Drosophila melanogaster: one gene and its partners. The protein of the gene in region 1 interacts with the protein of each later gene in a pairwise test. Each region holds a gene or a part of one and is shown on either strand. Other genes may lie near its edges.

What was found.
Region 2: the proteins of betaNACtes4 (region 1) and Nacalpha interact in a two-hybrid assay, tested with the Drosophila melanogaster proteins (one large-scale study listed by BioGRID).
Region 3: the proteins of betaNACtes4 (region 1) and Ravus interact in a two-hybrid assay, tested with the Drosophila melanogaster proteins (one large-scale study listed by BioGRID).
Region 4: the proteins of betaNACtes4 (region 1) and gNacalpha interact in a two-hybrid assay, tested with the Drosophila melanogaster proteins (one large-scale study listed by BioGRID).

The regions. Positions count from the first base shown.
Region 1 is NC_004354.4:14,375,825-14,384,510, forward strand, and holds betaNACtes4 (Nascent-associated complex beta-subunit-like, testis 4), read left to right. Parts: upstream 1-4,526; 5' UTR 4,527-4,611; intron 4,612-4,665; 5' UTR 4,666-4,682; coding exon 4,683-5,474; 3' UTR 5,475-5,592; downstream 5,593-8,686. Other genes in the region: betaNACtes3 (Nascent-associated complex beta-subunit-like, testis 3), read left to right, coding at 3,153-3,941.
Region 2 is NT_033778.4:12,756,726-12,762,502, reverse strand, and holds Nacalpha (nascent polypeptide associated complex protein alpha subunit), read left to right. Parts: upstream 1-1,503; 5' UTR 1,504-1,698; exon of another isoform or gene 1,699-1,702; intron 1,703-1,710; exon of another isoform or gene 1,711-1,776; intron 1,777-1,978; exon of another isoform or gene 1,979-1,981; 5' UTR 1,982-1,987; coding exon 1,988-2,641; 3' UTR 2,642-2,810; downstream 2,811-5,777. Other genes in the region: CG12374 (uncharacterized protein), read right to left, coding at 1-117, 189-350; Dgkepsilon (diacyl glycerol kinase epsilon), read right to left, coding at 2,985-3,104, 3,160-3,477, 3,534-4,541, 4,600-4,758; ox (oxen), read left to right, coding at 5,074-5,205, 5,272-5,307; mRpL18 (mitochondrial ribosomal protein L18), read right to left, coding at 5,389-5,777. UniProt on the Drosophila melanogaster protein: May promote appropriate targeting of ribosome-nascent polypeptide complexes. Required for correct localization of the osk/oskar protein to the posterior pole during embryonic development.
Region 3 is NT_033777.3:13,260,166-13,268,881, forward strand, and holds Ravus (ravus), read right to left. Parts: upstream 3,897-8,716; 5' UTR 3,834-3,896; coding exon 3,802-3,833; intron 3,742-3,801; coding exon 2,694-3,741; 3' UTR 2,568-2,693; downstream 1-2,567. Other genes in the region: CG11686 (uncharacterized protein), read left to right, coding at 1,477-1,605, 1,873-1,956; Su(var)3-7 (suppressor of variegation 3-7), read left to right, coding at 4,351-5,135, 5,570-6,154, 6,223-6,567, 6,623-7,600, 7,668-8,716.
Region 4 is NT_033779.5:1,033,431-1,042,170, forward strand, and holds gNacalpha (germinal nascent polypeptide-associated complex alpha subunit), read left to right. Parts: upstream 1-3,815; 5' UTR 3,816-3,948; coding exon 3,949-4,992; 3' UTR 4,993-5,076; exon of another isoform or gene 5,077-5,103; intron 5,104-5,148; 3' UTR 5,149-5,255; downstream 5,256-8,740. Other genes in the region: IA-2 protein tyrosine phosphatase, read right to left, coding at 257-760.

The DNA of each region.
Region 1 (8,686 bases):
TAAATCGAAAATTGGAATCAAAACCAAAGTTTCAGTTCGATTGAAATGTTCTTATGTGAAATGCCAAACAGGTTGGATATTTTTGATTGAAGAAAGGGACCTTCCACTTGGTGAGCTTTCAGATGAGCACATGTGTGAGATCCATTGCTCATCTGTGATAATCGAAGGGGGCGAGGGGCGGAAATGTCCCTTAAACCCACTGACACCACCCACTCCTTGCGAAAGTTGAAGGCCACAGACAGAGAAGAAGGTGACAATTGTTCATTTGTTTGGTCCTTTGTTTATCGCCAAACAGTTGACAGCTCTGCTGCTTTGTGGACCAAAAGCAAATGGAAATGGGAAATTAAAAGGGGGAATGGAAAAACTGGGGATATATATGTACGTGCACATGACGGCTGCTTTCTTTTCGAAATTTCAATTGCTGACAGGCTACTTACACACAGGTAATCTATGTTGTAACATACTCACTCATTTTGTATACTATTTTCAAGTGGAATTGTAATCAAACCCATATTTATACGATTTAACGGCAAGCCTCATTAGTATTATATGAATAGTTATATAAAGTAGAATTATAGATAACGATCTGTAAAATAAATGAAGTTATTATATATGCATTAAGTAATTAAATAAACACAAAAATATATTTACGTGTTTTCAAATCAACATTTGTTGGCTTGTAGTTCGTTTGTTGGTTATCGATTTGAGAATGTTATCCTAACATAACTTTATATTCTTGTTGTTCTGCATTCATTTCTTCTGTCTCTAGTGGAATTCACAGGAACTAGAAAGATACCAATTAAATTGAAATAAAACCCATATCAACACTTCCGTGCATTTAGATTTCCAATTGCGTTGGCTGGCTTTTTGGGCAGAGCAGAGATCTGGTGCTACAATTTTTGTCATTTGTGACTGGCGATTGAGTTCCGCTCCCCAGGATGCCAGGGCACTTTGGCACTGTGGTCAACACAATCAGGATGCAGTCATCGCCAGTTGGCACTCCATTCCTCACCCACTCGCCTTTCCTTCTCTCTCTCTCTCTCTCTTTCTCACTTCCTGCTTCACTGTCTGGATTTCTCTGAAATTCCCACACACACACACATACAGAGCTGCTCCAGCTGACATAACTCCAAATGCACTTGCTGACAGTCATTGAAAACACAAACTGTAGATTATGCCACTGCCTGGATTCTCTAGTTCGGACAGCCTCATCCTTGTTTTCCTCCAGGCATCCTGGCAACCTGGCAACCTGGCAACACGGCAACCTGGCATCCCAGCACTTGTTATAAATCACAAAACAAGTAAAAGAAAAAAAAAAAATCGAAAATTATCTAACGAAATGCTACTCAAGAGCGAGAGCGAGAGCATTGGAAGAAAAAACCCAAAGACCAAAATATATACTACGTTGCTTGGGCCAGGTGAGCCTGGAGTCTTCTCCTCTTGGCTTAAATGTGCAGCATTGCAGAAAATATATCGGCCAAAATGCTGAGGCTGAGCTGCGGCCCATCCTCCATTTTGGCCCATTCACCTTTTTGCCGGTCAGTTTGGCAGTTGGTAATGCGGTCAGTATGTGTTTGGTAGTATGTGTGTGTGCATCTCAGTTTGGCCCGCTCTTTTATTCTGTTTATAAACGTAACAATGACCGCATTCTTGTTTTTTCTACTGAGCACAGCACCTCCACCGCCGCCCACTTTTGCACTTTCTCATTTCACCAAAAAGTGCAGCAGCAAAGTTAAAGTTTTCCTCAACTGTCTCTCTCTCTCTCTCTCTCTCCCTCTCCGTTTCTTCCTTTTTCTATTGACAACTGCGGCTTTGGTGCCAAAAAGAAATGGAGGAAATGGGCATCCTTGCACAGATACACGCCCCCATCTCCGCCTTGCAACACCCGCCCACCCACACACACACACACACAGTCACAAATGAGCAGCAGGAGGAAAATGCCGCGAGCTCTTTACGCGGCCACAGTGACTGCGAAAAAAACATTCCACTGTGCCAAGCAAACAGCCACTGGCAATTGGCTGAAGCGCTGAGCGAGGAGCCGGTCTGAACCAAAACTGAGCCCAGTTAAGAGGCGTTCTGAAATGGTTTGGTTTGGTTTCGTCTGGGCTGAGGTTTGGGTTTGGGTTTGGGCCTGGGCTTGAGGTCGCCTCGCCGCATTAAAACAAATAAAATCAAATAAACGTTTATTGCACTGAAATGTTTACGAGGCCACAACAAAAACAACAACGTCATTTCGAGGGGGGGGGAGTAACAACAAAATGACAGCCATAGTAGTGAAAATCTGGCAATTTAATCAGCCCGGCAGCGAAATGATGGACAAATGGCCACAGCAACTTTGTTTGGTTAACACTGGGCATGAATTTTTGGCCAGGAGTGGCGCCAAAAGTGGCCCACTGTCATAAGCGTCAACCACGTGTTTTCATTTTTTCATTGCCCTTCTTTTCTTTTGACTGACCTGCTTTTTAAGTGTAATTTTTTTGGTCGTACATCCCTTGCTTCGCTGTAAATTGGCCAATCTTTTTCCAATCTCAGCAACAAATGGATCCTCACAATCACTAAAAGCCCATAGGTTAAGTTCTTTTCCTTAGAATTTCGAGAATAGTGTGACCAACTCAGCAGACCGCTGACATTCACAATATATCGATAGTTGAATGGAATTTTTTTCTGGTAATTGTGGTAACCCTTAAGCACTAATCGCAGGAGCTATCTTGACAATTTACAGCCAAATATCTTTTTTAAATACAATAAATGAATATATTTGACAATGTTCTACTGAAGCTACAAATTTCCAGTGCTGTACGTTGCATAATTTATTATGAAAAAAAAAAGTTATACTTATTATGCCAGCCGAACATAATAAGAATTTTCGAGACTAGAGTTCCCATCTGCAAAGACATGACAAAGCACTGGCAACCCTTTTAGCACGTGTCAAAAACGCAAAGAAAAATACGATGACTTTTCAGTCTAAAAGTCACATATCTGATTTGGCGTGAGGACCTCAGTTGATTCACATCTCGGAGCGGATATTACTTAATATTATATTAATTAATATATTCATTTGCAAAGCACAGAGTTTTCAAGGTGAGCATATTAAGAAAATTCTTTTCCACGCACTTTACCCGTACAAGTTAATAGGTTTTCTTACCAAAACAATGGATTTCAAGAAGCTGAAGAAAATGGAGGAGGCGGTGCGCATCGGCGGCAAGGGATCTATGCGCCGCAAGCACAAGAGAAATCCATCCCCGGCTGTGGTTGAGAAACGAGTGCAGGCCGAATTGGCCATGTTACCGTTGAGGAATATTGGAGAAATTCAAGAGGTGACCATCGAGTTCACCAATTCCAGGGAGGTTGTGTTAACCATGCCAAAGGTTCAGGGCACCCCTCCCAATTCTTTCTTCGTGGTTAGTGGCGATCTCGTGCGCAAATCGTCAACAGCTGGCCCATCGAAAGTGGCCAAGGCAGCCAATGCGCCCAAGGCACCCATGCCACCTAAGCCACCCAAGCCGGAAGCTTTTTCCGACAAAAAGCCAGAATCAGGGGAGTCCATTAAGGTGGCCAAGAAGCCCAAGAAGCCGCGCAATCGTGTTCGTCCTCGCAACAAGAAGGTTCAAATGATGCTTTCCAAAAACAAAGAGGAAGCAGCAATGGCTGGCGGGGATTCGGAGCCGAAGCTTAGCAATGGTAAATCAATTTTGATCTCCTCTGAAGATGGTAGCGATCCGAATAATGAGAAGGTGCCATCGGATGAGTCTGATGTGGATCGGACCGTCGTCTGCGCCAAAGATTCGCTGGGAAGTTTCGGCGATGATTCCGACGGCAAGGAGGACGATGACAGTAAGGAGTCGATTTACCTATCTTCCTACTCCGATTACTATGATTCCGCGGATGAGCAGCTCAATCCGAAGACTTATCGCGCTCAGGTGTCAGAGGACGAAGATTAGACATATTCATTTGTTGCTACATTTGTACCAATTTTCTAAATAAATCGCATACTATATACGTACATACTGCACTTCATATATATTTTCTCTAAATTTTTTGGAAATACTTATAAAACATGTTTAATCATTGTAAAATTTTCATTAAATGTTTATCTCACAAGAACGTGATTTCTTACGCTGCGTTAAGTTTTTGCCAGTCATTATTTCGTGTTCTCTTTCGTGTTCTCTTTCGCATGGAATACCTTAGAGTTGTCAAAATTATTTGGTGAAATGGCCAGAGAATAATTAATCGGCCACAAATAATTGGAATAGCTATCATCACAATTTACAACCAAATACATATCTATTATAAATAAAAAAATGAATATATTTCAAAAAAAATATATTTATGCTACCAGAGCTGTAAATTGTATAATTTATTATGAAAAAAAGCACTAATACTTATTATGCCAGCCGAACATAATAAGAATTTTAGAGTCTAGAGTTCCCATTTGCAAGGACATGACAAAGCCCTGGCAACCCTTTTTAAAAAAAAAGACGATGACTTTGCAGTCTACAAGTCACATTTCTGATTTGGCGTGAGGACTTCAGTTGATTCACATCTCGGAGCGGATATTACTTAATATTATATAAATTAAAATATAAATTTGCAAAGCACAGAATTTTCAAGGTGAGCATTTCAAGAGAATTCTTTTCCACGCACTTTACCCATACAAGTTAATAGGTTTTCTTAACAAAACAATGGATTTCAACAAGCGACAGAACATGGAGGAGGTGGTGCGCATCGGAGGCAAAGGATCTATGCGCCGCAAGCATAAGAGAATCCCATCAGTAGCTGCGGTCGATGAGAAGCGCGTGCAGGCGACATTGGCCAAGATACCGTTAAAGAATATCAGCGGAATCCATGAGTTGACCATCGAGTTCACCGATTCCAGTGAGGTTGTGGTAGTCATGCCCAAGGTTCAGGGCATCTCTGCCAATGGTTTGTTAGTTGTTAATGGCGATTTCGTGCGCAAATCGTCAACAGCTGGCCCATCGAAAATGGCCAAAGCAGCCAAGGCACCCAAGGCACCCAAGGCACCCAAGGCACCCAAGACACCCATGGCACCCATGGCACCCATGGCACCCATGGCACCCATGACACCCAAGCCGGAAGCTTTTTCCGTCAAAAAGCCAGAATCAGAGGAAACCATTAAGGTGGTGGCCAAGAAGCCCAAGAAGCTGCGCAATCGTGTTCGTCCTCGCAACAAGAAGGTCCAAATGATGCTCTCTAAAAACAATGAGGAAGCAGCCATGGCTGGCGGGGATTCGGAGCCGAAGCTTAGCAATGGTAAATCAATTTTGATCTCCTCTGAAGATGGTAGCGATCCGGATAATGAGAAGGTGCCATCGGATGAGTCTGATGTGGATCGGACCGTCGTCTGCGACAAAGATTCGCTGGGAAGTTTCGGCGATGATTCCGACGGCAAGGAGGACGATGACAGTAAGGAGTCGATTTACCTATCTTTCTACTCCGATGGCTATGATTCCTAGGCGGAGCAGCTCAATCCGAAGACTTAACGCGCTCAGGTCTCCGAGGACGAAGATTAGACATATTCATATGTTGCTAGATTTGTACCAATTTGCTAAATAAATCGCATACTATTAACGTACATATACCTCGCATACCTTACATGTTTTTTCTCTAGAATTTCTTAGAGTTAGTCAATATTATTTGGGGAAATGGCCAACGAATGATTAATTTGCTAAAATCGTCTTGCATTGTTATAAGCCGCAAAACAAGGCACAAAAACCGAAAATCCTTCTAAAATTAAGTGATGTTTATTAACATAATTCCTGTTCACATTTAGTTAAAGATTGGAAAAGTTAATAAACTATTGAGTCGCTTAAAGATCCATTTGATCTCTTGAATGCTTTTTCGTGCCGCATTTCTTGAACGCATTAAACAAGAAATCCGAGCAAAATTAATTTAGTAAACGTTTAAGAGGAAATGCCACGCCCCTATTTACGTTCCACGGTGGCGGAGGTGGAAAGGGCGGCAAAAACTAATCTGCGCCTCGAAAAATGTACGAAATTAATCTGCACATAAATTAAGCATTAAAATTTAATATATTTGTTTATGGAGCCTCAAAGTGCGATGGTGTTGGTAGGGTGGAGCTGGCGGAGCACACGAGTGGGCGTACCGGATGTGCTGTATATGTGGAACATGAAATGTGTGTATATGTATAAGTGTGTAGTGTATGGTGTATGGTGTATGGTGAATGGTGTATGGTGTGTGTTCTTAGTGGTAATAAATAAATAGCAAAAAGGTAATAAAACAGATAGCGAAAAAGGAAAAAACGGAAAAACATCCCGGGGGGATGTGGAATCTGCCAACTGGTTGCCCATTATCGTATTAGCACATGCCACCAGTGATTATTATGAGGTGTCCTCCCTCTGCTCCAGGTCCTGCCACAGCTCCTTTTCCTGCTCCTGCTCCTGCTCTTGCTCTCCCCCGTATCCTTTGTCTATGCATGCGTGTATAATTAATTTTGCACCCCTGTTTGTATCCACATCCCCCATGATCAGCACCCAAGCTCTTGTTCTCGTCCCAGCTTTTGCTTTTGCGTTTGCTATTCCCCCTTTTGCTTTCGAGGCAACAATGGATGGCCTTCATCCCAACTGGGAGCCAGCACTCTGGCAAAATTGGTAGCGAGTTTCCCCAATGGAATCGGGGCCAAATCGGGCGGACTTATGGTCTGTCGACAGACACCAACGAAAACCAACGATATCGCTCTTCCGAACGGGGATGGGGTGTTGCACTTTAATTTCCCACAAGATTCCCTACAATGCATACGCATTCCAATTCTTAAAAGCCAAATTGGCTGTGGCTAACACTGATTAATCCGCACATTGTTCGACAGCCAAATATGGGCCTCAAAGAACCAAAAAGGTGAAATTACATGTGGCAAATCTGCCTATTGTTTTCGTATTTCCCGTCGCTTTTGGCACGTGGAAAATTTTACAAATTTTAAGCAGATATAAACATACCCATGGAATGTTGTATGATATTTGCCTATATATTTATATAGAATAGAATTGAATCATTTGAACCAAAATGAAACATTTCGCATAGGAGTTCCTCGTTTTTGTTGCGTTTTTAAAAGCACATATACTCGTAGACATGCCAGAATAATATAAATATAAAAAAGTAGAGACCCATTGAAGATGATAAAAGCTTAAAATTGTCAAGGCGATGCTTCTGAGGCATTTTTATTTGATATTTTTATGGTATATAAAATTTCTGTTGGTCTGAACTGAAGCTTCCAAGAGCTTAATGTTGGATTTCAAAAAGTATCAAAAGTATCCAAAAGTCTAAGCTGATGCCATTCCACCAAGTGGCTTACTTTACCTTGGAATGTAATGTGAGTGCTTTTGAAGAAAAAAAAAAAAAAAGCAATGGAAAGACGTTCAAATGGTATTTGGATTATGTCGCTCGCCTTTTGCCTCTTCGTCCATGATGAACTCTGGAAATTTCTGGAAATAGTGGCGTTTATGAAAGTTGTCATTCCGATTTGATGACTATTGTCGAACATTATCTACAATAATTCATAAAAGAATGCCGTATCCAGTTGATGCGGCGAATGGTTGATGGATGAAGATGAATGGGCCATAAGAACATCTCATTAGGCTGAGTGAAAAATAGACCTATCCGCAACACCTACTTGTATCGATCCCAGAGTGCTGTGGGTGGGTCTGCCCTGTGCTATATTGTCGCCACTTTTGTTTGGACTCTAATGAAATACGCATTATTTGGCAACTGTCTGGCAGGCAGCGTGAATTTAATATGTGGAAACATCGCTTCTGTTCCCGCTTCTCTACTTCCTGATGGCTCCTTGGTCGTGGTCCTCGCCTGTCATCCGCAAACGATGCCATTCATTTTAAGTCACATGTGTCGCCCGGGCATATGGCCACATCCCGGGCAAACCGATTCGAGGACATTGTATTGCGGTCGACTATCCCTGTCCCTAACACACGGCTTAAGTGTTTATTAATATTGAATCGTGCGAACCCGGACATGTGTTGGACCCCTAAATTGACTTTGCCGTAACTGATAAGGTCCCATTCGCCAAAAGACGCAGCCTGTAGTTATTGTAACAAGCCATTGGTGATTGTTATCGAGCTTGGCGAAGACAACAGCTGGTCACACTACACGCACGTATCGCAGCAAGGACTCAAAAGAAGTCCTTGCACACAGCACAGGATTCCATTCCGTTCGATTCGTTTCGATTCGATTCGATTCTGGTCGAAGAACAATTACGAACTGAGAACTGCGAACTGCGATGCTCTTGAAACGGCAATTATGAACTGCACCCTCCGCCGCGCTTCTCACAATTCCAAAAGAGGTCATGGGGTCAGCAGCTGGCGAGAAGTTCGCAATGGAAGGAGGGGAAAAGTTCGCCCTCAGTGCTCTTCAATTATTGTAATCTATTTTAAGAGGCTCTTATATCAATATTTTCGATTCGTTTTCGGAAAGAGTTCTTAGCAGAGTTATTCTGCATCGCTCGTTCCCTTTCCAAGTCCCCTATTCCATGCCAAATTCACATTCCTTGTCCTTGCCAAAAATTCTTTGCTTAACTTTCGCCACCAGTGTCTGCGAAACGAGGTAACCTGGCCCAAAAATACTATACTGCAGCATGCTTTCAGGCCTTGGCAACTCTCTGTTGGGCACACACACACACACACACACACACACACACTCATAC
Region 2 (5,777 bases), on another chromosome or scaffold:
CACTTCGTAAACAATTTCGAGGAATTTAAGGGTCTTCTCGAGGGCTCTGTGGAACAAGGGACCAACGATCACATTGTATTTGTTTCCAACAGCACCCAGTTCGTTGAGGAAGTGCACCTTTAAATTGGATCAAGTCAAGACATACATATATGATTTTCAGAAATGGAATGGAATTTGTATGTACTTACAGAGATGTGTTCGTGAATCTTCTTAAGCTCCTCCATCTGCAAGTTCGTCTCAATGGTCAGCTGATAGATACGGAAGTGGTCGTACCGGGCGGCCATGCGACCAGGTGCGGACTTGGCCGCCACCATGGCCACAAGGGTTATCAGAAGGATTGGTAGTTTCATTTCGGAGGTTTGGTGTCTTGAACGTTACAGCGTTCACTGTGAGGAGTCCCTTCACAGTCGTGCTTTTTATTAGCTCCAGGAGTGGCCACTCAAACGGAACGTTATCTAATGGCGATAGGGGATCAGTCATCTGGCGTGTGTCTCCTTTGATCTAATCGCCCATCCAACCTACCACAAAGTAGCTCTGGACTTTGTCTTTCGAACCAGACGTGTCTAAAGATGGTTGATACACAAGAAAATTTAATTAAAGTAATTATAAAAAAGATTTAAGATATTTCAACTTGGCCAAATAAACTTATCCCGAAACATGACCTAATTTTTTATGTTGTATTGTTTTCGAAAGACCAGAGTATATGCAAATAACCTAATTAAAATTTAACTAATATTATCAATTTCTTAAGTTCATGTAAAAACTTATATCGAATATCCAAGTTACCTTTACAAATACTAGTATAAATGACAATAAACTGGTATCAAATTTTTCTCGGTGAACTTCCTCTAACAAAGTCAGCGGAGTCAAATTTGTAAGTGAAATCATGCACCGAGTGTGGAGGCACTCGCCTTATCAGGCATGTTCAATTAATTAAATACTCCTCCAGGCGTCTGCACGTGAAGGAGCACTTCGAGAAGCGTTTGTAGAATGCACTGGCAAACTGAAGATCGTCATCTTCAAGTGACAGACTGGGTGGGGAAGAAAAGCCGTCAAACATTCGATTGTGAAACCATTCATTCGTTTAATTTTACTATTTAAGCAGTGCAGTTATTGCTAGTCACTGCAGAAATTAATCATGCCACTGAGCCTAATCTGTGATGTTCCTTTCCTTCCCTTTGAGTAAGCCACTTAAAATGTTGCGGTGTTATCAATTTGTTTTTAATGTTTTTCTTTTATGTAAAATTATAACTGCATTATCAAAAACTAAAATATTACGTTAGTAGAAGATTGCAAGCAAAGGTGACCCAAACAGTGAACTACACCTTTGAAAAAATATTTAACACTTGCTTTGAATAATTACGAAAAAGAACTAGTTTCTTGGGATATTATTGCTTTTTAAGCTACTCCCATAATTGTTTATAGTTCGATTATTTCAGCAAGCCTTGATAGTCAAATTAAATTATAAATTTTTAGTCATAGTGCTTTACTATAGAGGTGAAAGATTAAAAATGTATTTTGAAACTGTCATTTTTTTGAAAGTAACGTAATTATGAAATAGAGTAGCCACAAAGTTTGAATTTGTCATACTTCATACGCATACGTTCACACTGACAGAATATATCGCTTGGATTTAAGAAAAATCGTGCTAAGCGACAGTCACACTCCCCTCCGCCATATTTCTTTTCTTCGTTTCCGGTAGGTGTGTGTACTCCGCATTTTTCGACTTCAATTTAACTTTTGCCGAAATATCAGTGAATTAGCGCCTTAAATTATGTAAAATATCATAGTTAAGAGTTAGATCTACGGGGGTAGCGAATTATTGATTTTCCAATTGAACTTGAAAAATCAATACCAACTGACCCCCGCTGAGACACATCGCTGAGCCTTTGAACCGGCACCAGATGTTTTCCCTTAGCATAATTGATACTATTTGCAAAGCAATTACCTAACCTCGTGTTCTCCACTTGCTTCCCCACAGATTAAAATGCCCGAACTGACCGAAATCAAGAGCGAGGCTGCGCCCTCCACCTCCGCTGAGGCGAAACCCGAGGACGTCCGCGTTGAGGATGATGGCAGTGATAGCGACTCCGATGGTGGCATGCCTGGTCTGGAGGAGGCTGTAGCGGCCACCACACAGCTGGGTGGAGGTGCCACCGGTCTGCCCATCGACCTCGTCTCAAAGGCCAAGCAATCGCGCGGCGAGAAAAAGGCCAGGAAGATCATGCTGAAGCTGGGACTTAAGCAGATCCAGGGCGTCAACCGGGTGACGATCAGGAAGTCGAAGAACATCCTGTTCGTGATCAACAACCCAGATGTGTACAAGAACCCCCACAGCGACACCTACATCGTGTTCGGTGAGGCCAAGATCGAGGATCTGTCGCAACAGGCCCAGGTGGCTGCCGCCGAGAAGTTCAAGGCCCCGGAGGCTGCTGGCGCTGCAGACAGCGTGGGCGCCACCACATCGGTGGCCCCCATTGCCGAGGAAGACGAGGAGGATGTCGATGACACCGGCGTGGATGAGAAGGATATCGAGCTGGTCATCACGCAGGCCAACACGACGAGGGCCAAGGCGATCAAGGCTCTGAAGAACAACAACAATGACATCGTCAACGCCATCATGGAGCTTACTATGCTTTAGAGCGGGCTTCAGCGTTAGCTGCACTCCTGATTTTGTTGTTTACCCGCCTTTCGATAATACTGACCCAAATGTTGTGCATGCCCCTCAAGGGGCAGCATGTTACACCAGTCGAACATTTAATTATATTTCAAAAGATTGCGTCTTAATAAAAATGGATTTATTTCAAATCAAATACGATTGCGTGTATTTTTCGACTAGTTTCGGTTTTCCACTAGGTGGTGTGGGTGTCTTTACTTGCCTTGCTAACCGAATTCGATTAAGTATACATTGAGGTTCCAGGTTAAGTACTTTGAGATTAGGGACTGGCACATAAGGGATTCTATTCTGTATTAGCTATTAATGTTCAGGTTGCAGCCAGCTTGAGGACGCGGGCCTGACTACGCGAGGAGAGGCGAATATCCGCTGGACTCTGCATCCAGGGTTCGCCATCCGCCTGCATTGGCACGGTCTCCTTGACTTGTAGCTAAAAAAAAGATTGTTGGTTAACAAATATTCGGTTCCATCACTGCAGGGCTTACCCTTATTTGCTTGGCTTGGCCAATTCGCACTGGTTTGCTTATATTGCACTGCAGTTGGGCAATGTGGAAAGAGGAAACAATGCCGAACACCTCCATCATACCATCGGAGATGGAGTTTACAATGCGCACTTCACCATTGGCGTTGCTTAGCTCGCAGAGCTTGCAGCCAGCTCCCCATGAGTCGATATTTAGGAACACCAGCGCCTGCAGCTCAGGCAGTTGCACTGGCTTGTTGTCCAGATACAAGGTCAGCTTTTCCTCGATGTGTTCGCAGCCAGGTTGCATCACCTGTTGCGTTCCGAAGGTAAAGTACAGCAGCTGACGAGATGGATACATTAGTTAACGTTAAGTAAGCACACTAGATTGTAGCCTACCTTATTGAATATTCGACTGCTGAGCAGATAGAATCGAGATTCGCGCGTCTTGTGGAAGTTGTAAGTGATGTACGCATCCACACCTACACTGAAATAGTTGTACACATGAATCGTCTTCGTGGGATGCCTCTGAATAGGCAGTCGATAGTGCAGTTTCTCTATTTGCAGGTCAAAGCGGTCGAGATTCACGGAACGTGCTCGCCGTATGCTCCTAAGGATCTTCACCGGGTCGAGAACAGAGGGCGGCTCTGCTCCCCAGCCCAGAACTCGCGACAAATCGTTGCCGGTGCCCAGCGGCATGATGGCCACCGAGGGCTGGGGCTTGATATTCAGCGTATAGATTGTATTGAGCACCCAACCGATGGTGCCATCGCCGCCCGCCACCAGTATGCGACACGGGCGAGGACTGGCTTTGGCGGCCCACTGCAGGGCGTCCTGCGGACCCCTCGAGCCCAGTTCCATCACCTGCAGCGGATGCAGGTAACCGCGGAGCAGGGACAACACATTGGCACCCGTACTGCTGCCCGACTTGGTGTTGGCGATCACAATAAGCGGCTCCCAGTTCTCAATGTCTGGCGGCGTAATGCTGGCCAAGTGGAGCCGCATCGAGTCTCTGGTTCGGGCGGCCACAAAGCTGTATGGCGGGAAGATCATGTCCTTGAACTCGCCCAAGTCGCAGGCTTCCATGGAGTCAGCGCGAGTGTAGCAATCGTTATGATAGCACCGCTGACACCATGCACATCGCCATCCGTATAATCCTGGATCGGTGCTGACATGGTGATCCACCTCCTCGTTGCAGTCGGCACAATGCACTCCCATAGGCAGATTGCCATGCACCCACAAGTGCCGCACGGAGGACTCGTTGCGCAACCACTTGTCCTTGCACCGGTACTCCCTGTCCGCCCTCCGCTGGCAAGGGGGCGTGGCATGGGTGCACAGGCCGCAGCAGTCGCAAAAGAGTCCTGCGGAGGGGGTTAGCAGGATCTCGCACACATTGCAGAAGCAGGCCTAGAATGAAGGGCATGTATCCTATGGTATCTCTTTCGCGGCAAGTGAATCCGCTCACCTGTTCCAACACTTTTATTGATTTCCAGCTGTGACGTGTTTTGAAGGTGCTCACAAAGTCCTCGGAAAGCAGGCTGCGGCAGAAGGCAAAGAGGATACTGAGGGCCAGCAGGGATCCTATCAGCGCCTCCACGCTCAGCTCAATAGTGCCTATGTCCATGGTCCACGCAGATAAGGCCCAATTACGCTAAATATCCTGGTAATTTGGCATATTCACAAATCGTTTGTTTTTGCCCCATCGACCAGTGTGACCGCTTCAAAGACAACAAAAAACACCTTCGACCTCAATTAAAAACACTTTTCAAGAATAAGCACTAATGCGTAATTTCGATAGGCGGAGTGACACTAGTATTTAGATTCAGGACGTTTCCAACACTGCTTGTCAACTCAACCTAACAAATCAGCTGTGAGTTTGGCGTGTGGAAAAAGTTTGATTGGGAACAAATCGGACGTCTTTAACAAAAATCTAGCCAACATGAAGGTTATCTACAACACCCTGTTCAAGCGCACCTCCACCTACGCCGTGGCCATCATCGCGTCGGCCTTTTTCTTCGAGCGCGCTCTCGATGTCACGTCGGTTGCGATTTTCGAGGGCATCAACAAAGGCGTAAGTATAATCCTGTTATGTAAGCAAAGTTTCCTGGCCAAATCTCAAGATTTCCCCGCTTTGCAGAAACTCTGGAAGGACATCAAGGGCAAATACGAATAAATTAACATGATTTGTTGTAATTAGCAATAATAATCAACGTTTATTCTAAACGAAACGATAACTAAGTGTGGTTTCTTTTGGTTATTTTGATTTGGGTGCTTCCAGTGCGTCTTCCGACACCTCCCAGGGCTTCTCATGCCTCTTCTCATCCCAGGGCTGCTCGTTGGGCAGGCGAGAGGGTTCCTTGAAGGACACCCCATTATCCTGAATGGTTTGAAGCAGCTTCTGCAGCTTGCTACCCGGTACCGCCTCCACGTTGCAGGTCATTTCCGTGATCCCAGACTGCAGGCAGCGCTGTGCGAGCACTCTGCCGAGATTTACAAACGCAGATGTGTCGTTGGTCTTGTACAACTGCTGTTTAATGGCCCATTCCGAGGTGCTGGCACTCAGGATGGTTCCATTCTCAAAGTGCTTGACATCGCCGCTGACATAGCGGCCGCTGGTGTTGATTTCCAAAGTGTGCCAGTAGG
Region 3 (8,716 bases), on another chromosome or scaffold:
TGGTTTAAAAAGATTGAGTTCTCTTTTAACTAACCTTAGTAACCCAATAAATACTTTGCTTAACTCTCAGATCGGCCCTCGCTGCCAAAAGCTTTTTCGCGAAGCTTTCCTTCGAAAGTGCGCGTCGGCAGTGCGACGGGTGACAACCCTGCCTGCAGTGGGCATGCAACTTGTTGCGCCGGTTTGCGCTTCTCAGTCTTCATTCCATTCTCGAATCCCCCGGACGTCGACCTCCGATCCGATCGTCTACTTGGTTTGTTATTGTTTCCTTTGGCTGCCTGGCATTCGGCTATTAAGTTGTTTTCGATCTTAAATACGTGGGTGCGTGGTATACAGTATTTATAAAATACTTACGCATAGTTGGCGTACGCCTATTAATTGGCGCATACTTCAGATTCGGCTGGTCTAATTAATCCGAATTTCACCGTGTGCTAATTTCGCCAACCGGTTTGTGGGCGATCTGCAATTGTTTTTATGATGACTTAAGATGGGCGATGACTTAAGACGACACACCCCGTCAAGTGCAGTGCTCGCTAGCATTGTGATTTGCATAATGACGACACTTGTTTTGAGAGTACTATAATCACCACTTGATCGTGGAATTCGGCTCGAAATCGGCGGTCGAGGCCTCGACCTCATACTCTGCCTTATTTTTGCCTTATTTTGGTCACAATCAGTTTTGACGTCAGTGTTTCTAAAATCAGTCTCAAAACCGAGCCAAATCGGTCGTTAGTATGTTTGTCACGACCCAAAAGTGAAATCTAAATGCAGAAGAAAGCCATTCAAATGCATTTTTCGGTGGTAAAACCTGAGTGTATGCATATTTTAATAATATTTTCTAAAAAGTGAAAAAGTATTTTTAGGAGAAAGCCGAATATTTAATCATTTTATAGTGAAGGAAGATATTAACTAAAATTCAAACTTCAGTAATCTTCAAAGGCCTAACTCAAGGTCTACTTATATAATATATAATTTGAAATTGCATATGACTAAAAACTATTTATAAATGAGTGTGGTATGCAAACACAAATGGGGTTTACTGAAGGATTTACTTGCTCGAATAACTTGACATTCACTATCTTAAATGGGAACGTTGATACAGCGATGGAAAAAATGATTTAGAAATAGAAGTGACGTTTTAGAAGCTCTTTTAATTAGGTGGGGTTTATCAGAATCGTGTTCTATCGAAATGCAAGATTTAATTTGTTAGCTCATTAAAAATATTATGAGGTCACTTTTTTAAGGCGCATATCAAATTAATGACATGTGTTTTGCTTATTAAAAATATACGAAATGCAGAAATTAGTTTTATGCTCGAGCAAGCTCCAAGTCTTGAAGTTTTTAATGAGATATGCTCTATTAAGAAGACGACTGATAAGCTTCAGTTTTTTATGGATCTTTCCACTAATAAGATCCCTTGTATTTATCTTATCGCACAGCTGAAATCGCTCTGAACAAACAACACCACTCATCACGATGCCAAATCCACTGTGGTTCGTCTTCTGGCTGCTGGTCTTCTGGTTCGTCTCCTTCTTCGTGGCATTCTTCTGCGCCTTTTTCTACATCTGGGTCTACGCATTTGCCTCCTGCATTCCCGCCCTGACGGTAAGTGGGTTTTTTTTCTATTTTGGGGAGCAGCATTTGAAGTTATATGGCGGGGTGAGTCAATTTACCTGCTTCACCTGCTGGTTGCATGAGGCACTTTCCTTATCGCGCCGTCAAGATGTTTAACCCATTAGTCATTTGGGGAACTTATCAGACCCACAACCGGAGCTTATGGGAAACCGCGATAGCTGGCCCCGATATGTAGACCCACCCACACCCATTGCCTGGAAAAACATTGCTAACCGATTTGTTTTCTTACTTTCGCAGGGCATATCGGACATTCTGCTCCAGGGAGTCCAGTTCCCGTTCTACTGCGGGAAAGCCATGTTAGAGGGCAAGCAAGCTTTTTAAGGGGGATATTTCCCCAATATCAATTAACTAAGTGCCTTACTGATAACTCTTGTTTTCAATCATTTTTTACAATTTTACAAATAAAGATTTATTAACTTATATTTATAATTACTGGCATTTTTTCAATTGATTGATTCTGATTGATTCAATCTGATATTACATGTTGTTTGTTCGTTACAGTTGATAAATTCGCCTGATGGAGTGATTTTTACTATCTTTACCTACAGAACATACATTAAACTATCATGCGATAAACTTTTTATCACATGGTATTGTACATGCGTAATATTTACCCTTCAGAGAATTCGCTTTGTATCATTCACAATAAGTAAATCACAATTGTTACCCACACACAAGAAGTGGTTTCCATTGATTACAGCTCTTCCGTGATATCATTCTCTGAGAAAATTCACAATTTATACTTTGCTGGCAAACCAAGGTCAGGAAAACACTTTTTGAAATGCAGTTAGTGAAATATTAAAGCGAACCTAATACCTTAATGAGCCCATTTATTGGGCACTTAAATTTCTAAACGGATGAAATGTAATGAAGCCATTTCATAGAACAAAAACACCATCAGATAGATTTAAAGAATAAATGCACGCCACACTACAACAACTAATAAATAACTTTATTAATGAAAATCAGTTAACAAAATTAAAAAATGAAAGCACTAGCATATATTCTAATTGCCGTATTGAGCACGGTTTGGAACCGATTCCAAAGTCCAGGTGAATTTATTTGGTGGTAGAAGCCACTGTCGCATTCTGCTGACCACTGCCTGAGGCTTCAGCTGCTCCAGACCTGGAGTTTCCCGCGAGATCCGGAAGTCCGGCGACCTCAGAGAGCGCCTCCTGTTCGCAAAGAGCACGCAACTCGAGCTCCCCAATGAGCTGCATTACCCGGATCTTACCCTCGGTGGCCAGTTTGGGCGGCAAGTTCTTGACGGTGGCACATATGCTGTCGAAGAACAGCTCCAATGAGTCGCGCGGTGGCGTTATAGGTGACAATGGTTGCAGTTGATAAGATTGCAGCGGGCGGGCAGCATAGGAGGGCGTCGTGTGTATAGGCGTTATGGTGGCCTTGGAATTGATCTCCTGAGCTTGGCACATCCCACTGAGTGGAGTACTGTGCACTGGAACTTTTTTAATGGTGATCCTGCATGGCGGAGCTACTGTTGCTGTTGCTGAGGATGTGGGATAGGCGGAGACAGTGGTCGGAAGACTTTGAGGCCCCTCGTTGATGGTCACGTGTAGTGGCAGATAATCCAGCATGCCAGAATTCTGTGAGTCGGTCTCCGAAGTGCGGCGCTGCTGCTTAATGACGGGCTCCGTTTCGAGATCATTTTGTGCTTCCAGTTCTTGAGTCCGCTTCTCATCGTCCTCGCAGTCGCCCTCTGTTTCGTCAAGTTCTCCCTCCTCCTCATCTTCTGTCTCGTCGTCTTGGGGATCTGTTCCGTATTGTAGTAGACCCTCCTCGTCCTCGGTATCCTCCCACTTCATCGCACCGGAGCTGGATCCATTGAAGCTCGAATTGTTTGCCTTGGCTGGCAATGATTTTCTTTGTGCATTTTCCGAGTGCTTAATGCTACCCTCGTGCTTTCCCAGATCAGATCTCTTGCAGCTGAGCCTGCACTCGCACACCGCGCAGAACACGAAGTGCGGATCCGTCTCATCCGGGAGCAACCACGGATATATCGCCTGGTACTCCGGCTTTGTCTTGGGTCGAGGATATTTCAGCAGGGCGCACGGCCGGCGTGGCCTGTATTCGGAGCGTAGGGCATCTCTGGGCGGCGAATATAGTCAGTGAACATAAGACCCTGGTCTCTTACTTTGGTATACTCACAGTTTTTCCTGAGTTAACTGGAGGTTTGACATTTGGGTAGTCTTTTCCAAAATATAAACAAAATCCAGTGAGGTATGACCGTGCGCACATGCATAGAAATACCGCATAACCCGTTTTGCACATGCTGTAAGAGTTGTCACCCACACCGGTTGTTTGTTTCTACACACTTTATTTTAAATATTCAACGATATATGAATCATATGCTAATGCATGTAATTTCTTTATATGCTTTCTAAGCATAATGTTCATGTAGTTATTAAATAAATAATTGCAGTTATACTATGAACAGTACGTTTTAAGACCGTTCTCAATAAAGTGACCAGTCCAGTCCCTCAGTTGCATTTTATGTATTTTTTGAACTTCCTTAGTATATGGTCCTTAGCCCGCCGGTTTAATGCAACAGTACGGTCACATTGGCCATCGCCTTGACAGCGATTCTGAGTTTTCGCTTGCGATTATTTTTATTTTTTTAGTTTATAACCGTATACTGTGATCTCCCAAAAGCTAACAAATATTAGAGCAAAGTGCCTGGATAACCAGTATCTCGTGATGGATCGGGATTCGAGCATGCAGGCGAAAAACCTAGATGCTCAATGCAACCCAGACCTCAAAATGGCGTCTGCAAATTCAGAAACTTTAGCGTCGGCAACGCACGAGCTGAAAATTATGGACGTAGAGGGTGGTGCTCTGGTGGATCCGGATCACATCGAGGAAGTGGAGACCTCCATGGTCATCGTGGTGGATGATGACGATGGGGATGTGGCCATGGTGGTGGAGGAGGACAAGCACCCGATGCGGGATGACCCGTGTATTGAGGACATCATGGATGACGAACATGCTCCATTGGTGGCCGAGCTACAGTCCGCTCTAAATAACCCAGACGACAAACAGGCCAGCGAGGATCCCCTCCTGGAAGACCAGGAACGTGAACCCGATGCCATGTCCACTAAAACTGAACCCTCCAGCGATGCGGAGAGCTCCCATTCGTACCACGATCCCATGGGCCTGCTGGAGAGGATTGAAATCCATGATCCGGGAGACAGCCAGGATGACGACGACGAGGATGACGAAAGCAGCAATGGCGGTGGCGTTGACGGAGGCATGCGCCGCAAGATGCCCCGCGCACAGCGCTGGCTCCTCTGGATGAAGCGTTGGCCCTGGATCCTACACGAGGACTCCGATGGCACCTTAGCGTTCTGCCTTTACTGCAACATATCCATTAACGTGAACAACCGCTCTAGACACATCCAACAGCACAACGTGTCGCTCTCCCACCAGGAACGCGAGTGCAACTATCTGGCATTCAAGAAAAGTGAGGAGGAAACTCGAGGAGCGTAAGTGTCACAGTTTTAAAGATTACAAAAAAGAGTACAGAAATCTAAAATTCGGAGAAATCAAGTTAATTAATCCGCCGTATAAAGTAAAAGCTCAACTCTTCAAATGCCTTTCACTTTGTAAAGGGTTTGTACCGAAATCCAGAAAGCCCACTGTAGTGTGAAAAAAACTGCCAACTTAATGAAGGGAGCACTGCTCCGAGTCCGCATTAATTTTCCAACGTGTAGCAATTGTTTGACACAAAGAAACTGGTGTATGATAGGCTTGGTCGCGGTTCAGAATAGATTTTACATATATTACACTCCCTGCTTTCAATGAGGGTAGCTCTACTCGTAATGTTAGTAAGATTTGCACCTTTAAAAAACGAAATACCGAAATCATATTGAGATCACCGAAAGTTTGCGAACACTTATTAACTCCCAATTATCCGTAGAATCAGCGACAACGAAATCAAGCACGAATTCGGCACCAAGAGCTATGTGGCCGCCATGAAGCAAAAACGAATCTCCGAGACCGAGGCATTTAACAACTTCAACTGGCTGCGTTGGCTCCGTTGGCATCCTTGGCTTGAACGTTCCATGCCCACAGGGACCATCGGGACATGTCGCATCTGCAGCGTGCGAATGAACGTGGAGTTTGTCTATTTGCGCAAGCGCCACGAAACCACCAAAGGTCACATGGAGGCACTGCGCAACCTAGATTCCGATAAGCGGAGTCGGAAGCGAAAGAGGAGCAAGAGCAACAGCGTGACCAATAGCGGCGGGGATGAGGCCGAGCGAGAGAAGGAATCTGAACCAGAAGTTGGGCCGGAGGATGCTCAGGACACCCCTGTGGTTATGATGAACGGCGATGTGGACTCAGGCGACGACCCTGGCAAGTGGTGTGCACTGATTCCGGACACCAATCCACAGCAATGCCGATGTACGCTCTGCAACTGCACAATGGCGATTACCAGCTTCCTACGGCACTGTAAAACCAGAGCTCATTGTCACATGCTATCGACACCCGCTGAAAAGGGGTGAGTTGACACTCCTACAGAACGTAAATAGCACCTGTTCTTTAACTGCTTTCACTTTTTTACCTCAGCTCTTCAGATATTCGCGGCATTTGGGCCGTGTTCGCCGACATGCATCCTTGGTTGATTGCTGATCCCGAAGACCCCAGCATTGGGTACTGCAGCGTCTGTCGCAAGCGATTCATGTATGGAAACTCAGAGATCAAGCGCAAGAATCACGAAAAATCCGAGAAGCATACCTTGGCTTTGGCCAGCGCCAAGGCAGGCATCGAAGTTGGTTCGGCTGACGGCAGAGGCGGCGATAACATGGATGAAGAGGAAGCGGCGGCAAGTGATCAAGCCCAGTCATCGCAGACCGATGACAGCGAAGATAATGACGATGACAATTGGTCCGAGATCCAAAAACTCGGAAAAGGGTATGTTGCTTAAAATATTTTTAATTTTTACTTTAATAATAATAATTTCGTATAGTTTTGCTCATAAGTCCTCTAGCGAGCCAAGAAAGGCCACGGTTCGCGCTGGGGTACGTTTTTACCCGTGGCTTTGCTACTCCAAGGACCGAAAGACTCAGATTTGCAAATTCTGCCGCGTGCGCTTTCACAACGAAGCGGCAAAGGCGCGGCATGAGTTGAGTGCCCGGCATGTAAAGCTGGTAAAGCAGTTCAAAATGCGGCAAGCGAAACTGCACCAGGGCACAAACACGCAAACTAAACATAATGCGCAGGATGATGAAGAATCACAGGAACAGGACGAGGAATATGGAGAAGAAGAGGAGGACGCAGAAGAAGATTCCCAAAGCAACTTCGACTTGGGCACCGTGCAGGCAAGAAAGACTGCTCGAGCGGACAATAAGCTTTTTGTCAAGCCCATTCCGGCAACCATGAAGGGCAAGGTTATGGTGTGGAAGGGCCGCTTCCCGTGGCTCTCCTACAAAAAGAACGAGCAGCGTGGAAACTATGCTTGGTGCAAGCTGTGCGAAGTGTCTCTCTACCTGCCCTCATCCAAGTGGGCCTCCAAGCACCAGAGGACTTCCCGACACATACGCCTCCGCATTGATCGAAAGCGCAATGGTGGCAACCCTTTGAAAACATCGAACAAAAACTCAGGTGAAATATCCACTGTTGTGGCCACAGCTTCGGCTTTGGCCAGCGCCGAGGCTAGACAGAAAGCGGCTATGGCAGAGCTGCAAGCGAAGTACGACTGGCTGGATCCTGATGCCAATGACGAGAATCACTGTCACTGCCGTGTTTGTGATAGCCGGCTGCCGATCAAGGTATTTTACCTGCGGCAACACGACGCTTCGCGTAAGCACGTCGAAAATAAGGAGCGGCAAAGGGCCAATGCCGCCGCTGCCGCCAATGCACCATCAGTTAGTCCCACTTCCACCGTTGATGCGGAAAGGCAGGAGTCTGGAATGGACAAGGAGAGCGAAAACGATATGAGCGTTCGGTGAGTTTAGAATTCGAAATCCCTTCATTAAGCGTTTCTAATAACCACACTCATTATGGCTACTTAGATCCGATGGCAGCACAGCGGAACCGCTGGCGAAGCGGTCCCGACGCTCAATGGAGGTTCGTCGCATAATACGCGCCCTTCGCGACTCAATGGGCAAGCGACAGGAAGAACGCTCCCAAATGGACATGGCCAGGGACATGATATGCTCGTCGTTTGATATTGTTACACGCTTGCGAACTTTGGAACGGGAGTCGGTCGCACATAACGAGTCTATGGCCCAGGCGCCGCCATCGGTGACAGTGTCACCGATTAAGCCACCGGAGCCACGACATGTAATGGATCTCTTCTTTGACAGCATTTCGCCGACCATGAAGTCCCTGCCGCCGGATTTAGCCGCAGAGGGCAAGTCGAAAATCATGCAGCTCGTTTGTAGCTTGGAGCTTCGAGCCATGCAGAGAAATGCGACAACTCCAACCCCAGCTACAGTTTCTGCTTCCTCGAAATGGCCTTCTTCAACTACGGTGACCCCAGTTAAAACTCCTCCTGCTCCTATTTCAGCTCCCCTTGCTTCTGTCGATGCAGATTTGCATTCCTCGGTTGTCACAACACCGCATGAATACAATAATGGGCAGAACAATAATAACGACAAGGAAACCGTACCGAAAGAGCCAGTTACCGGGGCTTCCTCTGCCCAAGTGACCATCAATGGGAGCGCCAAAGACCTGCCAGAGAATATACGCCGTATCTTAACTTCCAACCAAACGCAAGTGACCAACCGCCTCGAGACGGATTCCGTGCGTTGTGTACCTCTTGACAAACTAACAACACAGAGTCGGACCAACGTGAACGGACGACTCAGTCAAGGTGGCACTTCGGAAGCACCATCCACCCCACAGGCGGACCTTAGCAATGGTAACACGTTGGCCATGATCAGGCAGATACGGGTTAACAATAACAACAGTTCCAAGATCACCGTTACTAATACGCCTCAGATGCAACAGCCGCAGCAGGCACAGGCAAGCATAACGTCCTCGACTCCAATAATGCGTGGTGGTCCCAGCAGCAACGGTTGTCAAATCACAACATTTCGGACAATGGTGAACCATAACC
Region 4 (8,740 bases), on another chromosome or scaffold:
TTTCATCGACTCCTCTGCTACGCGTAAATTAGATTATTGGATTATTAGGGCAAAAATAACTTCAAAACTTATCAATTTGGGCTTACATCACCTCTAACTAAGGTGAAAACTAAGCCAAAGCTATCTAAAGGTTTAGGGAAAGATAAGGTATCTTAGATACTCTTCGGCGCATTTGCAATAGAAAGAACCCTTACCCATCTGCCATCTGCCTCTGCTTTCGTGCTAGTGACTTGCTTATTTCGTAGGGGACACTCACCAACATTGCCCTCCGCTTGAGCAAGATCTCCATGCGTGGCGAGCAGAAGGATCAGCAGCAGGACTCCGAATTGCAGTAGCTTGGCCGGACGACTCAGCGCGTCCAGGCTGCAGCAGAGCAGGCCGCCGCCACCCGCCCCGCAGCCACGCACCTCGCGCCGGCGGGCGCCTTCGCTGATCAGATGACGACCGCGGGCGGGCAGCGTGGGCGGCACCTTGCGCTGGTGGTGCAGTAGCTCGTGCTGGCGCGGACTTCGGTGGTGATGCACTGACTCCTGCGGCGTCGAAGGGTGCTGCTGCGGATCCTGCTCCGGATCCTGGTCCTCCTGCTGCTGCTGCTGGTCGAATGGAGGTCGCTGCTTAGACCAGAACTGCTGGCATTCTCCCGTCGCCGACTCCTGGTGCCCGGCTGTTCCGCGTGCTCTCTGGTGCTTTGGCTCTTCAGTTGTGGTGCATGGATGTTGCTGCCGTTGTTGTACATTGCGTGCCATGATAATCGGCACACCTGCAAGAGGGGAAACCAATTAATTAGCACACAAAAGAATGGCGACCCGAGGACACAATTACTCGCAATTACTTATTATCTTATATTAATATGTTAATTTATACTATACCCCATTCAACTATTTTGAGCCCCCCGAAGCCAGATTTCATTTGGATAAACAATGCTTCCATTTTCAATTAGTTTTTTTAGGGGGGAGAAATGTCGCACTCACCAACCCATTCCCATCGGCTCATAAATCCCTACACAAATTTATGCAGGAATTTGCACTAATGACCTGCTGCTGCTCCGCAAAGTGGGTGGTGCTCCTGAGTACAGCCCAAGTGATTCGGGTGCTCCTTATTGTTGTTACCGGAAATTAGCAATGTATATTCGGTGGCGCTGCCTCGGCTGCCTCTTCGGGGAAATTGCATTTTATTGTGCCAGGGACAACTTTTCGCTTTTCCGGCATTTCCATATTTCATATTTTCACACAATGCGCACAAAGGGAAGCCTTGGAGGAGCTGGGGGCTGGGGGCTGGCTGGAATCTTTGCTGGTTGGGCACATTTGTCGCGCTGCAGTTTCCGGTTTTTTAGTTGCTCCTTCTTTGTGCGGGCTTGGTGTGGCCTCCAGTGATCCCTGCTCCGGCTGCCGAATGCTTAGCGAGTATTTCTTGCTCTTTATATGGTAATAAATGTCAGACTTCGCTTAGCCCTTGGCAGTCGGCAGGGGAAATTGATTTTCCTTGCCGCTCCAGCGACTCCAAATCGTGATGGGCAGGTGGTTGGGGTCTGGAAATGCTGTTGGTTCTGGGTTCTGGATATCGTCTCGGTCATTTGGCGATAAGCGCGTCAGCCTCGCTCAAGGCTGACATATTTTGAAAGAGGATGACGGCAGAGTTTACTTCATTCTGAAGGCACAGCCATACCGCCTGCCAAACGGGATTCCAGCTCATCAACAGCAGCACAAAGATGTGGCATTCCAGATTGGCCCATCGACAAAATAAACGTCAAATTATCAAGCGAACAAGGTACCAAGTGAAATGACCTTGTCAACGCTAAAAACAAATTGGGTTTCTACTTTATTGGGAGTGCAAACAGTATGTCCACAAATTTGCTACGGCATCAGGATGTATAAAAACTTGGTGCTATTCGAAACTAATTTGCAGACTCACTATAAACTCACTAAAACAAACTCCTTTAATAAATAGTTTTCCTAGCAAAGACTGCTGATTCACTTACAACAATAGAATTAAGCCAAATAAGCATCAATCAGCAATGAAATTCATTAGCGGGAAGAGGAGACTCTCGAGCAGGCACAATATGAATGCCTTGGCCAAGATCTCAATTACGGAAACATCTTTGGTTATAACATGTCTACGACATGGTAATATGATTTCAATCATTTCTCGAAACTTGCATGATTAATGCGTTACAGATTTTTGCCCCCAGAAAGCGGCTTCTGTGGGCCTCGTTGCCTTGAAGGAGAGTGAAGACCTCGTCCTGGTGGGCCTCCGAATTGGGTTCATTTTTCATGCACAGGCCGTGGCAGCAGAAACTAAACTTCGAGGCTAAGACTAAGCCCCAATAAGTTGGATGGGCCCAGATGACACCGCAGCATATGGGGCGGATAATTAATCATGGGACGAACGTGCCAGGACGCCCAAAAACTTTTCACCCTTCTCCGGCTCTCCGGGTCTCCGAGTTCCAAGTCCGCGCAGAACTTAACTTAACCGAGCAACATTGAATCGAATCGACCGAGATGTTAAGATGCGAGGACTCATGGCTGGGCAAAGGGAATATCTGATTAGTTGGCCTCTCGAATTTAATTATGGTGACAGGACAGACTCTGCGGCGGCAGCCGGATGCATCCTCGGTCTCCTGCCCTCCACATCCTCCTAGTCCTCCTCCTGCTGCTTCATTCGCCTCTCCTGAATAATTTGTGCAACTCAATTAGGCGTTGACCCCACGATAAAGTTTAATAATTGCAGGTGGTGGACGCCCTTCTTTCGCTCGAACTTTAATTAAAAGAACCGAGCAATTAAAAACGCATCATCAGACAGAGCGCAGCGGCTTGCAGAAAAAATGCAATACATGCTCCCGATTACCACATACCTGTTATGTAGGAAATAGGAAAGGTCAGAATTCATGAAAATTATGCTAAATGTTATGTTAACTCCATTGGGGATTTGATCCATACGTGCTCATATTCTTATTGTACGGTTGTCTCGAATTGTGATGTAATTTCCGTAACACGAAGAGCGCCCTAATAGGGCGTGGCACTTTTTTAATGCACTTAGCAAGTGTTTTTTCGCCACACGCAGAACGCAAAACAGGATCACACAGCCCCGCCCTGAACCGCCTGATCTGGGAAATTCGGGAGCCGGAAAACCGCAAGGAAAACCGCACGTGTAACCGCGCTTGCTCCACCGCGTCGTGTTTGTGGGGCTGCTCCGCTTTGGAGGCAGACTGCGGTGCGACCACGACAGCAATTAACACGGAGGAACCAGCTTCAGATTCAGGTCTTTGGCATTTTCCGGGCATCCGAGTTTTACGACTTTGCATATTCGAATATTACCCAAATAACCGCTGAACTTTTCATTTCTCCACCACTTTTAAACTGGCTTTGTCAGGTGAAAATTTTCAAGCACGTCACTGCAGTGGATTGATTTGCAATCATCAATTTCGATAGAATTTGCGAGGCGCTGCAGCAAAACTTTTATAACCGCGAAATTAAGTGCACAGTTCGAAGGCAGCTGACATTCTCGTTTGAAAAATACCAACTTTCTTCAGAGCAGCGCTGCTAACGCCTATAATCAGTTCACGATTGCACTGGGACCTATCGATATCGATAGACTTAGGCGTGCTCTGCATGTTCGAATGGCCGAGTGGCCATTTTAAAAACTTATAATCTTTCCGAAAGCAACACTTGATATTGTTTATTTCGCTATTTAGGTGCCATTAGCATAAAAAATTTCCAGTTTTCATTATGAAAAAACTTTTCGATAAGTATACCAAATTTCGCAACAGCACTTATCGAAGAGAGCAACACCAGCTGTCAAGCCACTGGAAGTTTCACCTCTGATATTTCCTGTCAAGTCTTTCCCGCAAGAGGTCACACCACGTGCGCTGCCAATTTGGAAATTTTTTTGGAGAAGTTGTCCTCGCAAATCTGTGATCGCAAATCCCTCAGTTGCTGTTTATTCCTCAAGATGGGTAAGAAGCAGAAAATGAAGAAGGCTGCCCAGATGGCGACCGCTGCCGAGAAATTGAAGACCGCTGCCGAGAAATCGAAGACCGCTGCCGACAACGTGGTGGCCAAAGAAAAGCCTGCCGAAGAAGCCTCTCCCTCACCAAGTGGCAGTGGAAAAAAAGGGAAGCCCAAGGCAACGCAAAAACCAAACGTCGCAAAGGCACTTCAGAAGGAGATCTCCAGTTCGGAAGACGCCTTGGATGTCAAGAATAAACCTCCGGCAGGCTTTAGTGGCGCAAAGGGGAAGCCCCACATCATGGGTCAAATGGACCCGGCCTACCGCAACAAGATCAAGAAGCTGATGAGCCTGGCCAAACAGCTGCCGCCCAATGTGTTCAGTCTGCCGAACTCGCAGAAGGAGGAGGGCGCCTCCGCCGCGAAATCCTGCGTAGTTGAGGATGATCAGAGCACGGACTCCGATGACGCCCCGGATCTCGTGGAAGCGGATCCCAAGGAGACCCAACCGGACGAGCAGGGTCAACTCGGTACGGTGGCCGTGCGAACACGTGAGGTATCAAAGCAGTCTCGCGGCGAGCGGAAGGCACGCCGGATCCTCATGAAGCTGGACCTGAAGCCCATGGAGAACGTGGCCCGAGTGACCATGAAGAAGGGCAAGAACATCCTCTTGTACATCGATCAGCCGGACGTCTACAGAGTGGCGCACTCGTCGACGTACATCTTCTTTGGGGAGATCTGCGTGGAGGACACTAGCACCACGTCCGTCGCCTCCCAGGCAGCTGTCAAGGCGGCCGAGCGATTCCGTGGAACCTCGCCTGCCGGGCGGCAAGGTAACGAGGATGGAAAAGCCCCTGGCGAGGAGTCCCCACACGACGACGACGACGACGAGAACGATGGCGAGGACGCGGATGCCATGGGCCTACATGCGAAGGACATCGAACTGGTACAGATGCAGGCCGCGTGCTCGCGCAAAAAGGCGATCCAGGCGCTGCTGAAGAACGACAACGATGTGGTCAATGCCATCATGGCCCTGACTGTGGGTTAAGTCGCTCTGAGTGGCTCCTTTGTATTCAAAGTCATGAAATAAAGAGAATTTCAATAACATCCATGTTCGCCATAGAAATTAATGGTAATTAAATGATTACAATCAAATCGTAAACTTTCATGTTGTTTTTATTTACTATACTTTCATGTAATCCAGACAATCCTTTCGGACTTCACTTCTCCTGGTGGATGGCTTGTTCTACAAGAATGACAATCTCCGGTGCCAATGTAGCTCGTACTATATTAAATGCCGATCATTTCCTGGTTTTTGAAAATGTTTTCGGTCCCAGCAGAAGAATCCCACTGAAGAACCCCTTTGTACAGCGAAATTGCCATCTTATTTCAATTTTCTAATGAATTGACATTTCCACCATTTCCATCTTGGCACAGTGAAAGCATTTTCCGAAGGGCGAAGAACGCATATGCGAACCCGAACCATTTTCATTATACTCGTATTTGCTCTTCCATCAGCGCTAGACTTTGGCAATTTTCCTTTCAGGTACCGTCATTCTTGGACATTTTCTCTGTGGCGGAAACTTAATCGCTTCTTTCTTTGTGCCGCTGACGCTGCACTCTTGTTTACTCTGCACTTAGTTTTTAGCCATTTGGCGAAGTCCCCCGGCACTCGACTTTGCATTTTTTGCTGGCGAATTTTTGACGACGCCGTGATTGCGTTTCAGCTCTTTCAGGGGATTTCAGGGGTACTCCCAGGTGAGACAGGTGACGTCGCTGCTGGTGACGTGGCTACGCAAGTCCTGCTCCGCGGACATTTGACTCAATTAAATGGCTCGACTACGTTCAACGTCCCTTTTCTGGCCCCAAAAGCCACTTAATGACTAGCTCCGGCTCTAACTGAACTTTTTTTAATTTTCAGCTGTCGTCAGCAGCCGTAAAAAAGGCTTTAGTTTTGCATTGTGGGCGCTCAACAGTCCGTGCGGCTGAGCACGTGCCCGCTTTTTCGCCGGAAAAGTGGAAATGGAAACTTTGTAGGTGGGACGCATTCACCTTCTTCGTTCTGTACACTCATATAGTGCGAGTAGAAAGTGCCCGCGCGTGTCGGCTTCGAATGGAAAGTTCTTGGGGCTCCATTCCCTTTCCGTGGAACTTTCTCCGCCGGAAATTGATTAAGTTGGCTCCCTTTAATCAGCGGAATTGAAGATGCTGCCGAAATACAAATCAGTTGACAGTCGGCAGCCGTACTGCGCAATTTACTGCCCAATCCAAATGGTACTTTGAAGTACTTTCCGCGTCGGCAATTTCCACTCCTTGCTGACCAAATCCCGGAGAAAGCGGCAACAACAGCGAAAGTTGTTAAATGCCTAATGACATCATTCGGTCTAGCACTTTCTCGAAATGAACTACTTGTAAAACGGAACGAAACATTGTTTAATATTATAATATTAGGTAGCCATATATTGCTTGGGATAACGGCAGTCATTGTTCCAATTAAATCGTCCGGTTCTGAGCCATTGTATCCACTTGGTCTTAAGAATTTAACATGTTTCTTTTGTGTAGGCTCCAAGGCATTCTTTATCTGAATGCCACCTTGTGTTCCTGTTTTACAAGAATTTTCTTTGACATGAAATGCTCTTGCTTTTCACTGGCTTTTGCCTGCCGCTTATAAACTTTCCCTTTTGGTTTTGCGGCCAACGTTTGGCCTGCTGCCCGTTCGCTTGAGAAGTTTTCCTTTTCGTGGTTATTCATTCGCTTTCAACTTGATTTGGGTTTCACATTTCGGTGCGCATTTCTTGACCAAAATCTGCAGGATTTGTCTTCGCCGTCGTCCTTCCGCCTGTCCGCATCCGTCTGGCCAAGTTGGCCTGCCAAGGGACTCGGGCTTACTTGGGCGCCTCTGGCGCAGTTCATCACTTTGGGCGAGCCGCATATACTGCTGAGCTAATCATGACTCCTCAGCTTCTCTATATTCATCTCCATTTCACTGGAATGCTCTGAGTCCCGCCCAGACCAGGCCCCCCGATCTGGCTTGATGTGTTGGCAAGCTTTTGCCATTTGATTTGACGCCACTGTTTGCTTTCGGATGGGCAGAGTGGCTGCCAGGTGTGTGCTTGCCAGCACACTTTAGCGCTCTTCGGGCTCCTTGGGGTTCTATTATTGAGAATATCGAGCACCTGGGCCCCGAAAGCCAGCGGCGCAAAGCCAACGCGTGGGAGCGACTTCCTGGCAGGTGATTTAAAGCTCGACAGGCTCACATTTCCCGGCCTTTGTGTAATTGATGCACGGCAGCAGCTAAAGGATAACAAATCGCTTTCATCCTGACTCCGCTTCCGGGCGAGCACAATGTGTACAATCACAATCCGCCGTCTGCAAATACACAATCCATAATTCCTTTTTTGGCCAGCCCAGCGTGAAACGGATTTCCGGCGCCTCTTCGGCGAAAAAGGACCTCTCCGTCCGAAAAGCAATTAGATAAACTTGCCAGCTGGATTCGGCAATTGAAAGTGGCCGAAAGTGGAAAATTGCGGACCAGCTGGGAGTGGCAGGACAATTATGAGAGCGAAGGTTCGGATAATTCAGCAATTTGGTCGGGTTAGGGGAATCAGCGTGGAATTATTCTCCTAAGTGCCATGAATTATGACTTAGTTAGCTAAAGCGAATAAATTATTGTTACGGATTTCGGAGTAAAGCGTCCTTTTCTCTCTGAGCCAAAAACTCAAAACGTTTATACATCAGATTAGTTAAATGATAGGAAATGGAATTCATTTCCAGTTCTAGTGTATCTGACTGTATCAACTGTTCAATTGCTATCCACAAGAGAGATCCTTCCATATTCCCTGGACTAATCTCACTTAAATGGAAATTGTGTTTGTTTCGTATATATCTCACATTCATCTTTATTATTTAAGGTGCTTTTTGTTATTTGCTATTTGTTGCGACCATTACAACCCGTTGTTTTGCTCTGTTTCAGGTGGCAGAGCATCAGATAAGATATTTCGGGGCTTTATTCTGCATGTAGGAAAATTGCCTTTCCCCGTTCCAAATTGTTTTACATTTCAACCCAGAAAGTTTTGGCATTTCGCAGTTTACCTCTTGGCCCTTTGAGCATGTTAGCAATTATAAGCTGCCTAGGGAATATTCAAGGAATTTGTAGGAGCAAAGGGCAGGGTCCGCCACCAACACTGAGTTACACGATCCCTAGAACCCTGGACCTCTGAAACTCGTTATGGAAAGCTTCTTATGTTGCAGGACGGACGCCCGTTTTCTCCCCTGAAAACGCTCGCAGTTAATAAGCATTTCCTTTTGCCGGATTTTATGTGCCATATTTTATTCAGATTGCGCTTCATAAATGCAGCTGGTGAAAAGGAGAGCAAAGGCCACGGATAATGAACACCAGTCAGGCCCGGGTGGAGAATTTCCAGCAAACTGAACTGATAATGTTGTTAGAGTGCACACATACATGCATGCATGATGTGGGCGTGTTCCGGGAGGGCGGGGGGCTGGGAAATCAATTTCGGGGAAAACAAATTGCGCAGCTCGTAGTGAAAGCTCAGCGAATATAATACTGCTGCAGTTTCCGTGCTCAGGAGGTACACTTTTCCTGGCTGCCTGCTTATCTGTCATTTTAGCGGGAAACTATCGTTAATGGGAAACTGATAGCAACAGCTTTCCCACTCGCGATAAGTAATGTTTCCTAATTGACTTTTTATCACGCTATCCGACACCTGATACGAGAATTATATTATTATTCCCATTCGCCGAACAATAATTCACAATAATTTGTGAAATTGTCG